Linked DNA regions of Sus scrofa. The main gene of each other region encodes a partner of the protein of the gene in region 2 in a complex. Links are inferred from orthologs where the notes say so. Each region holds a gene or a part of one and is shown on either strand. Other genes may lie near its edges.

Region 1 (4,274 bases), on a different chromosome or scaffold from region 2:
GGAAGGCAGGCAGTGCCAGGAGAAGGGAGGGTGAGGTGACACCAGTCTCAGTAACCTCAGGATTAAATCCTCCTTCAGTTCCCACCCCCTACAAACTCCGTGCTCCCGGGACTGAGTCCTCTCCAAAGGACGGATTGAACAAGACTCTGAACTCCCAAACTCAGACTTCAGCCCCCGTCTAATGTGCTCACGGACTAAGAACTCTCGCCTCTGACAGCTGATGCTGGAGGCTGGAGAATGGAATTCCAGGTCCTAAGAGCCTTTCTTTGGAATGAAGAAGAATGATATCCCGCAGGGCTGAAATATTAGAGGAGGCAAGTCCTATGCCAGAAGCTGAGCCCACCGCGGTGCTGCATGCACCCTTGGGTTTCGTCCCCGCGGCACCAGGGCGCACTCGCCCCCTTCCTGCCCCCTCCCGTGGGAACCCCATGCCCTACAACAGGTTGCTCCACCTGCAAACAGGGAGCGTGAGTGTGTCGGGTGAGGGTGGGCGCTGCCTGGAGACCAGGGCCGAAGCCAGCCGCCTCTGCCCAGGTTATGCCTACACTCGGCAGGGGATGGAACCGTGCCCCACTCGCTCGCTTCCCACCCTACCCGCCTTCATCCCGGGCAGCTCTCACCTCTACCCACGCCGCTTTCAACACCCGAGTCACTCCTCCTCTGGACATCACTCTCCCCGACCAGGGTTCCCCGGGGACAAATGCCGCCCTCTCCCCACCCTCACCGTTGCGTAGGGCTTCTTGGGCCCTTTGGGCAGAAGCCTGGGTGTTGGGCCTAAGGTCGGAGCAGGGGTGCGGGAGCAGGTGGAGGGGCTACCCCAGCTCGGCGGCGAGGAGCTGCAGGGAACTGCCAGCGATGGTGTCGCCGTCCCTGCGGCCACTGCGACATAGTAAGTCACCTGCAGTGCTCCGCTGGGTCAGGGCATCAGCGCGGCCGCCAGTGCACCGCCCCTCCCCAGCCCAACCCGGTCCCAACGGCCACCTCCACGTTCTCGGTGCCACAAGGTAGCCGCGCCCCTACCCCACCCCTCTTAGGATCGCTGCTTCCCAACCTTCCTCCCCGAAACCTCTCCATCCAACCCAACGCGCGCGCGCGCGCGCACACACACACACACACACACACACACACACACACACACACACGAGAATTCCCAGAACCGAGACGGTGGTAGAGGGGAGTGGGCGGGAAGGAAATCTTCCCAGGACTGGAGGACAGTCACATGGGGTGGCCGGGGGCGGGGGCGTGGAAATAAGTCCGGAGCCGGGGAGCAGGGCGGAGGGAGAGTCACCTGGCGGGACGGAGGCGGCCCCGCGCCCGGGCGGGGCGGGCAGAAGAGGCGCTGAGGCGCGGGGTTCGAGGTTGGGGCGGGGACCAGGCGGGGCGCGAGCCTCGGCCGGAGGCGCCGCGGGCGCAGGTGGAGCGGCCGCGGGAGCCCGGCCGGCCGAGCGCGGGGAGGCGGCGGCTGGGCCGGGGCCATGGAGCTGCTCAAGCTGAACCGGAGCCTGCCGGGCCCCGGGCCCGGGGCTGCCCTGTGCCGCCCAGAGGGCCCCCTCCTCAACGGCAGCGGCGCGGGCAATCTCAGCTGCGAGCCCCCACGCATCCGCGGAGCCGGGACCCGAGGTGGGTGCCTCCCCGAGCCCCCTCCACGCTGCACCCCGCGAGGCCGACAGAGGTAGTCGGACGCCCGCGCTGTCCCCTCGGAGTACCCCCCTCAGTCCCCAGACAGCTCCCCTGCCACCTTTGTCCCCCTAAAACTCCATCGCACCTACGCACTACCTGGTCAGAGCCCTTTCACGCCCTGCTCCCTGGCCACCCTGTAGCTTCTGGTCACCCCCAAAACGCAGCGCCTCCTAGTCAGAGATGGGGAAGGGGAGGACCGCCCCTGGCCAATCTTCCCAAGTCTCTCCTGTCCTTTTACACCCAGTGCGGGGAGCCACCACGGGGAAGGGAAGGGAGGTGGGAGGACGAGGTTGGGGTAAGAGGGGAGCTGGCTCGGAGAGGGAGCACTCCAGAAGGCCTGCGTGGGAATTTGAGTTACAGTGTCCTGCGTCCCCCCGCCCCCCCCCCACAACCCCTTGCCACCCGGCAAGAGTACCCCTAACCTGAATTAGGCTGGACATGGGACTGGGGACTGCTTGGGGGCGGGGCGGGGGGGAGGCTGTCCCCATTTCTCTCATCCTCAAATCCCCTTGCCTCCCAAGTGGGAGCTCTTCTCAAAGCTCTAAACCCCCCTGCTTTTTGCTGTCTCCAAGTCCTTTCTAAGCCCCTCCTCCAGCCCACCTCCCCTTAGGGTTCACCCTCCTACAGCCCGGCTGCCCACTTCATCATCCTATCCCTTTGTGCCACCTCCCCCCCAACCCCCACTGCTTCCACACACCCAGTCCCCAAAGTGACTTTCACTCTTGCCATCAGCCAACACCCACATTTCCTTGACGACCCAGCTCAAGTCATGGTTTTCCCCTTCCAGTACCTTTTCTTTCTTAACTGGTTCCTGGACACCTGCAATGACAGTCCCGGGGCCACGGGCTGGGTACACGGGGATGCACTAGACCCAGGCTGGACCCTCATCTCCAGTGCAGGCAGGAGACAAAAACCAATGGGAAAATGACATCAGCGTGGGACTCCCCAACGAAAGCAAGCAAATCATGGGCAGTCAAAGAGGTGGGGTCTGAAAACTTCACAGAGGGCTCCTTGAAGTTCAAGTTCCATGGGCAGAAGAGGAAGAAATAGGATGCCAGGAGAGGGAAGAGTGTTAAGCAGAAGGAAATGATTCCAAGCTCAGGAAGGGAAAGTGGGAATAAATTGTAATGCAAGTATTTATTCCCCCCCCCCCGTAAAGTATCGCATGCTTCTCAGATCGGTCGCTACACGCGCTCTTGTTGTTACATTGAGGTTCTTTTATTCAATAAATATTTATTGAACCAGAGATGGCGCTAGGCATTAGGGACATGAGGAGAGCAAAACTGACAAAGCTCCTATTTCAGGGAGCTCACAGCTTAGTGACAGAGACAGACAAGTAAGCAGAGAATTGCCAGTCAAGGCAGGCAGTGCCTTGAAAGGGGTGTGGGAACACAGACGAGGCATTCCTGCAGCCTGGCCCAGCCTTGGGAATCAAAGTTGGCCTCCTGAAGCAGTAAAGCATAAATTGAACTAAAAATTAAAAAGCCAAGGGAAAGCCAGCCAAGCAAAGAGGCAGATAAGGCAAACAGCATCTCAAGCAAAGGAATCGTAGATGCAAACACCCAGAGTTTAGGTCCGTGGCCGTTTTGTTCGGTGTGTCATAGTTTCTGAGTGCCTGAGACAAGTACCGGAGAGGAGAGTGATGAATACTCGGCTAAAGAACAGGCTGGAAGCTTTCCAGAGAGCCGTGTGGACCTAAGACGTGCGGGTTTTATCCTGAGGGCTGTGGGAGCTGCCAAAATTGCAGTACTACTGCCAGGATTAGTCCTGCAAAGCAGAGGATGGACTGGAGGACAAGAGACAGGAAAGGGGCCTCCTTTAGAAGGTTCTTATATGACACTGGTCCTGGCGAAAGATGATGCTGGCTCAGACGAAACGACTGGCAGTGGATGGAGAGAAATGGATGGATCTGAGAGGCGCTTCCGGAAGTGGCATCAACAGAACTTGATGATTTATTAGAAATGGTGAGAAGAGGGCGAGAGGTGACACCCAAGTTTCTGACATGGACAGCTGGCTGGATGTTGGGCCTATATTGTGAGAGGGATACAGAGACACAGAAACAGGTTTGAAGGAGGAGATGATTCATTTAGAAACCCACTGAGTTTAAATGAGGATGGGGTCGGATGAGGAGAGACTGGCATCCTTCAGACTCGGTGACAAGGAAGCCCTCAGAAGGTGCTGTGGCTGTGAAGGCCTGACTGGGACAGGCTGAAGTTTGGGCCATGAGGCAGGGGTTCTGAGAGGGGGACCACGGGGTGTTGACAAAACTTATCAGAAGTTTGGTAGAGAGAGAGACAAAGGAAAACCAAGACAGTGCTCGAAATAGCATGAGATCGAGGAAGAGAGAGAGAGAGAGAGAGAGAGAGAGAGAGAGAGAGTGTGTGTGTGTGTGTGGTTTGTCTTTTGAGTGTGTGCATAGCAGAGACAAGAGCATTTTTAAAAGTTGATGGAGATGGGCCAAGAGAGGAGGAAGGCTGAAGTGCAGAAGACAGCGGCTAGTCTGTGAAGCGGTTCAGGGCACAGGTGCAAGAACTGGCCTCCCTCAAGGGGACACTGCTGCCCACACATTTGGCTGAGACACGGGCAGTCGGAAG
Region 2 (4,320 bases):
GGGATAGGTGATCAGTCAAGCTGAACTGGGTGGTGAGGGAGAGAGGGCATCTCTGAAGTAGGACTGATATCAGCAACTCTGCTCCCCCTACCAAGCTGTCAGGAAAAACTCTTTTGCCACTGTGCTCCACATCTGCCTCTGCCCTGGTGACAGTGACTGTGCCGGCTCGCTGGCAGGGCTACCCAGGACAGGAAGGAGCCAGTATGCGGGTGGGGCAGCAGGCGTGGTTCTGGCTGGGAGGGAAGGCTGGCAATTGCCCAGCCTGAGTCCCGTTGCCTGGACAGAGTCTTTCCCGCTACGTGGGACAGGAGCCCAGCACTCTGAAGCTGCCTCAGCTGGGCTCAACTGCATCACCTCCCTGTGCCTGGATGGAAAAGGGATGGCCAGCCAGGACCCTTCCCCACGCAGCCCTGGCAGATCAGGTCCTCAATTTCAGGCAAAGTTTGGTGGCCCAGCCCCTTTGGTGGTGCATCCTCTCCAGCCCCTTTGGTGATGCATCCTCTGCAGGATCTTAGCCCCCAACCCCCACTCCACGAGGGCCCTGTTTTCCCCATCCTGGACACAGCACTCCTCTGGCCCAAACCCAGGAAGCCCATTTCACAAAGGAAGAGAAGGCCAGAGGGCCAGGATGCTGAGATGGACTCCCCAGCCTAGAAAATGCTGAGCACCCCTGGTTGCTGCCAGCCCAGTATGGGAGGGGTCTCCAGGCCCAAAACAGGAGCTGGGGTTCAAGGAGCAAGACTGGTGGGATAGGGTCAAGACGCGGAACAGGCCAGAGGCTCTGTGTGCCCCAGCTCCATGGCCCAATTTCAGGTCTCCTCAGGAGCCACCATAACTGCCATCGGCCTGGAAGGGGCTGGCTAGAGGCCCCCGGCCGGGCACTGGGAGGCAGCAGTACCGGAAGCACCATCCCCAGGCCCAACGGGCAGCAGAGATGGGCATTCCACCGCGGTGACACCCACTCACTGCCACTCACTGCCGCTGCCGCACTCGCAGCAGAGACAGGAAGAGGCAAGCGCCCAACGCAAAACAGCCCAGGAGGCTGGGCCGCCGCCCCTTCCCGCCCCTTCTCTTCCTCCCCGCAGCGGCGGCGGCTGAGCGGATGCCATTTTGAAATCTCCGGGGCTGTGCCCCTGAGGCCGGGCCCCCAGGGACAGTCAACAGATGAGCCCAGGATGGAAGACATCCTGTCTCTCAGCCATACGCCCGGCGTGAAAAGCCCCACTTTTCACAGCCTGGGGACCCCAAGACAGCTCTGGGGATGAGGGGCCACACCCCCCCACATATACAGTCCAGCCTCCAACGATGCCAGGAGGGTCTCCCTCCCCTCTCCCCCTTGAAATCCCTCTAAATCAGGCTGCCACTGGGCACCACACCTGCTCGCAGTGGGAGGCTGGACAGGGACCACTACCAGACCCACAGTCTTTGCACAAGTCCACTTCAGATGCCCACCCTAGAGGGCCCCCAACTATTCAACCAGCTGGTCCACCACTCCCTCCCTCGCAGGGCAAGATCCGACAAGCCCACCTACTCCCAGAGGCCATGTCCCAGGCCGCTGGGCCCAGAAGGGGTGTGGGAGGCCCACACCCGTCAGCAGATCTCCTTGGCCTGCCCGCCGGGGGCAGCAATATGTCGGCTGTCTCACCACTTCCACTTCCCCCCACCCCTCAAGCAGCCACCATCTTCCCTGGCCTTGGAGGCCACGCAACCCGAACTCCTCCACACTCCTTCCTACTCCCAGACACCCCCTCCCCCCACCCACCGGCCCAGACAGGGCTTAGAAACTAGGAAGCAGATAGACAGCCCGCAGAACTCTCTGGGAAGCTTGAGGCCTGGTCCCCTCCCGGATGTGACCAAGTGGAGCCTCAGTCCAGCCCCCTAGGTGTCTGGGGCCTGTCTTCCCAGCTCAGCCTACCTGGTGCAGGAAGAGTGGGGGAATCTAGAAAAGACCAGAGTGTGAGAGAGGACTTAAGAGCTGGGGAGCAGAGGATCTGAGGTGAGATGCATGCAGAGAGGGAGTCGGTGAGGCAGAGGCAGAGCAGGGAGCAGGGGGGGGTCTCTAAAGGCTGGAGGGAGAGCTTATTAAGTAATCATCTCATTTGATAAGTTCAAACCAAAATCCCACTTGAGAGGTCTCTTGGGGTCAAGGTGCACAGGTGGAGGATATAGGGTCTAGAATGAAGATGAGGCACAGAGGGTAAAGGAGGGAGTGAGTGGGGGCCTGGGAGGGGCCCCTGGAGATACTCATGCCCAATAGGAAGAGGGGGAGCTAGTGAGGGAACAGGTGGTGCCTGAGGATGGGGTCTGAATGGGATTCTGGGGGTTTGGGTAAAGTCTAGGTAAGGATGTAAAGACAAGGCAGAGGCTCCGAAGGTCTATGAGGCTGGTCAGTAAGGGTGGATGGTCAGACAGAATTCTGGGCAGCGGATGTTGAGGCACCAGTGTCTGGGTTTGGGGGCCCGGGGTTTGGGATGAGTTGAGTCTGATCTAGAGTCTGGGCTCTGGATCTGAGAGGTCTAGGCCAACCCTGAGTTTTGATCCATTATTTATTTGTATGTCCTTGCCAGGCGGGTCTACGGGGTTAAGTCCAGGCCGAGTGTGGGAGTTCGAAACACTAGTCCGCAGGTCAAAGTAGGGAATTTGGGTAGGGAATCAGGGGTCCCAGCGCAGGACGCGGCCTCACCCAAGAGCAGCAACTTCACCTCCCGCGCCGCCTTCTCGCCGTCTTCCCGCAGGTTCTTGTCGATCATTTTGGAGCGCTCGGCCGCCGCCTTGTCCTCAGCGCTCACGGTGCAGCCCATCCCGCCGTCCGCCGGCCCGGCCGCTGCCCGGCCACCACACGGCCCCGGCCCGGCTCGGCCCCGCCCGACCCACTCGGCTCCCGCCGCCGCCGGCCCTCTACGGGTAGCTCTCGGGTCCGCAGTTCCGAGCGTCTGCAGGCGGTGCCTTCCAGGCCGCCGCGCACCGACGGCAGGGCGGGCCGGGGGTGGGGCCCGAGCTAGTCTGGCCGAGGACTGGGCCGGGGCGGGCCCGGAGGCGGGGCCACAGGAGACCCGGGGTCAGTGATTGGCTCGAGGGAGAAGTTAGGCGCAGCCCAAACTCGGTGCGGGCTGAAGGCGGAGCCACGCCAAGGGATAGCTGTAGGGGTAGAGCCTAGCACAGAAGCTTTGATCGCAGGCGGGGCCGGGCTCCGATTGGGTGCGGAGCGCCTGGAGCTCCGCTGCCCGACGGCGGGGGCGGGCGGATCTCGTAGCCCGAGGATGAGGATCCGGTGCACCTCGCGGGCCAAGCAGGAACCAGCCCTCCAAGCTTCTGAGAGTCGAGCGAGATGAGTAGAGGAGGCGTGTCTTCGTCATTTGTTAAAGTTAATGAACCCAATAAACTTGTTTTGGGATCTACAGCGCCCCGGAGGCTCTCTGGACTGCCGCTTTTCTTCGTCTTAAAGTGGGTTTGGCCCCTTCTCTCTCAAAGCTGCAGTTAAAAAAAGAGAGATAGAGACAGAGAGGAGTTCCTGTCGTGGCTCAGCGGAAAGGAATCTGATTTGTACCCACGAGGACGCAGGTTCGATCCCTAGCCTCGCTCAGTGTGTTAAGGATCCTGCGTTGCTGTGAGCTGTGGTGTTGGTTGCAGATGCGGCTCGGATCCGGCATTGCTGTGGCTGTGGCGTAGGCGGGCAGCTGCAGCTCCAATTTAACCCCTAGCCTGGGAACCTGTATATGCACCAGGTGCGGCCCTAAAAAGACAGAAAAAGAAAAAGAAGAAAGAGAAAAAGGTCTAATGCCACCTTTGCCCAGACTATCTCATTCAACTGGGATAACTTCTCTAATCATCCAAGACATCCATCCTTTTCTGATTTTCTGGGAGGTATTCTCCTGCAGGTAGCCATCCTGGGACTCCAACCTGGGACCCAGCAAGCATGACCCAAAGAGGAGAGAGAGAGGGAAAAAGATAGGGAGAGATGTCACCTGATGCAACGAGGCCCCAGTTCAAAGACAAGGAAGGTTCACAAAGCCAGGAAGGGAACTGGCCACCAATATTTGGTCATCAATGCTTGGCCACCCACAGTCTTTTTCAGCATAGACTTCCTCCTCACCATGTTGGCACACACCTTGCTTCAGCTCCCTTGTGTGTGTGTGTGTGTGTGTGTCCGTATCTCATCTGCTCCCTCCTTGAGCAGCCATTGTCCTCCAAGCCTTCCATTGGTCTCCCCAGGGCTCCCTCCTGTCTGGAGCCAAATCTCAGGCAGGCCCTGCATGCAGCAAACCTGTTGAAAATACACAATGCCCTCCCAGGGACACAGACATCCAGAGATATGCTCTA

Evidence for each region. Proteins that work in one complex are often made in the same cells at the same time.
Region 1: the proteins of GNAI2 (region 2) and CCKBR are in contact, whole or in part, in a cryo-EM structure (PDB 7F8V), measured with the Homo sapiens proteins. The link is inferred for Sus scrofa from reciprocal best matches to the Homo sapiens genes GNAI2 and CCKBR. Residues at the interface, in NP_002061.1 of Homo sapiens: Glu28, Ala31, Arg32, Glu33, Val34, Lys193, Leu195, Thr220, Phe337, Thr341, Asp342, Ile344, Ile345, Asn348, Leu349, Lys350, Asp351, Cys352, Gly353, Leu354, Phe355; in NP_795344.1 of Homo sapiens: Thr87, Thr89, Arg152, Ala155, Ile156, Pro159, Leu160, Ala162, Arg163, Val164, Thr167, Ser169, Ile241, Gly248, Leu249, Lys328, Val331, Leu335, His394, Arg396.

Annotation. Positions count from the first base shown.
Region 1 is NC_010451.4:3,416,624-3,420,897, reverse strand, and holds the start of CCKBR (gastrin/cholecystokinin type B receptor), read left to right. Parts: upstream 1-1,384; 5' UTR 1,385-1,475; coding exon 1,476-1,620; intron 1,621-4,274. UniProt on the Homo sapiens protein: Receptor for gastrin and cholecystokinin. The CCK-B receptors occur throughout the central nervous system where they modulate anxiety, analgesia, arousal, and neuroleptic activity.
Region 2 is NC_010455.5:32,711,354-32,715,673, reverse strand, and holds the start of GNAI2 (guanine nucleotide-binding protein G(i) subunit alpha-2), read right to left. Parts: upstream 2,802-4,320; coding exon 2,684-2,801; intron 1-2,683. UniProt on the Homo sapiens protein: Guanine nucleotide-binding proteins (G proteins) are involved as modulators or transducers in various transmembrane signaling systems.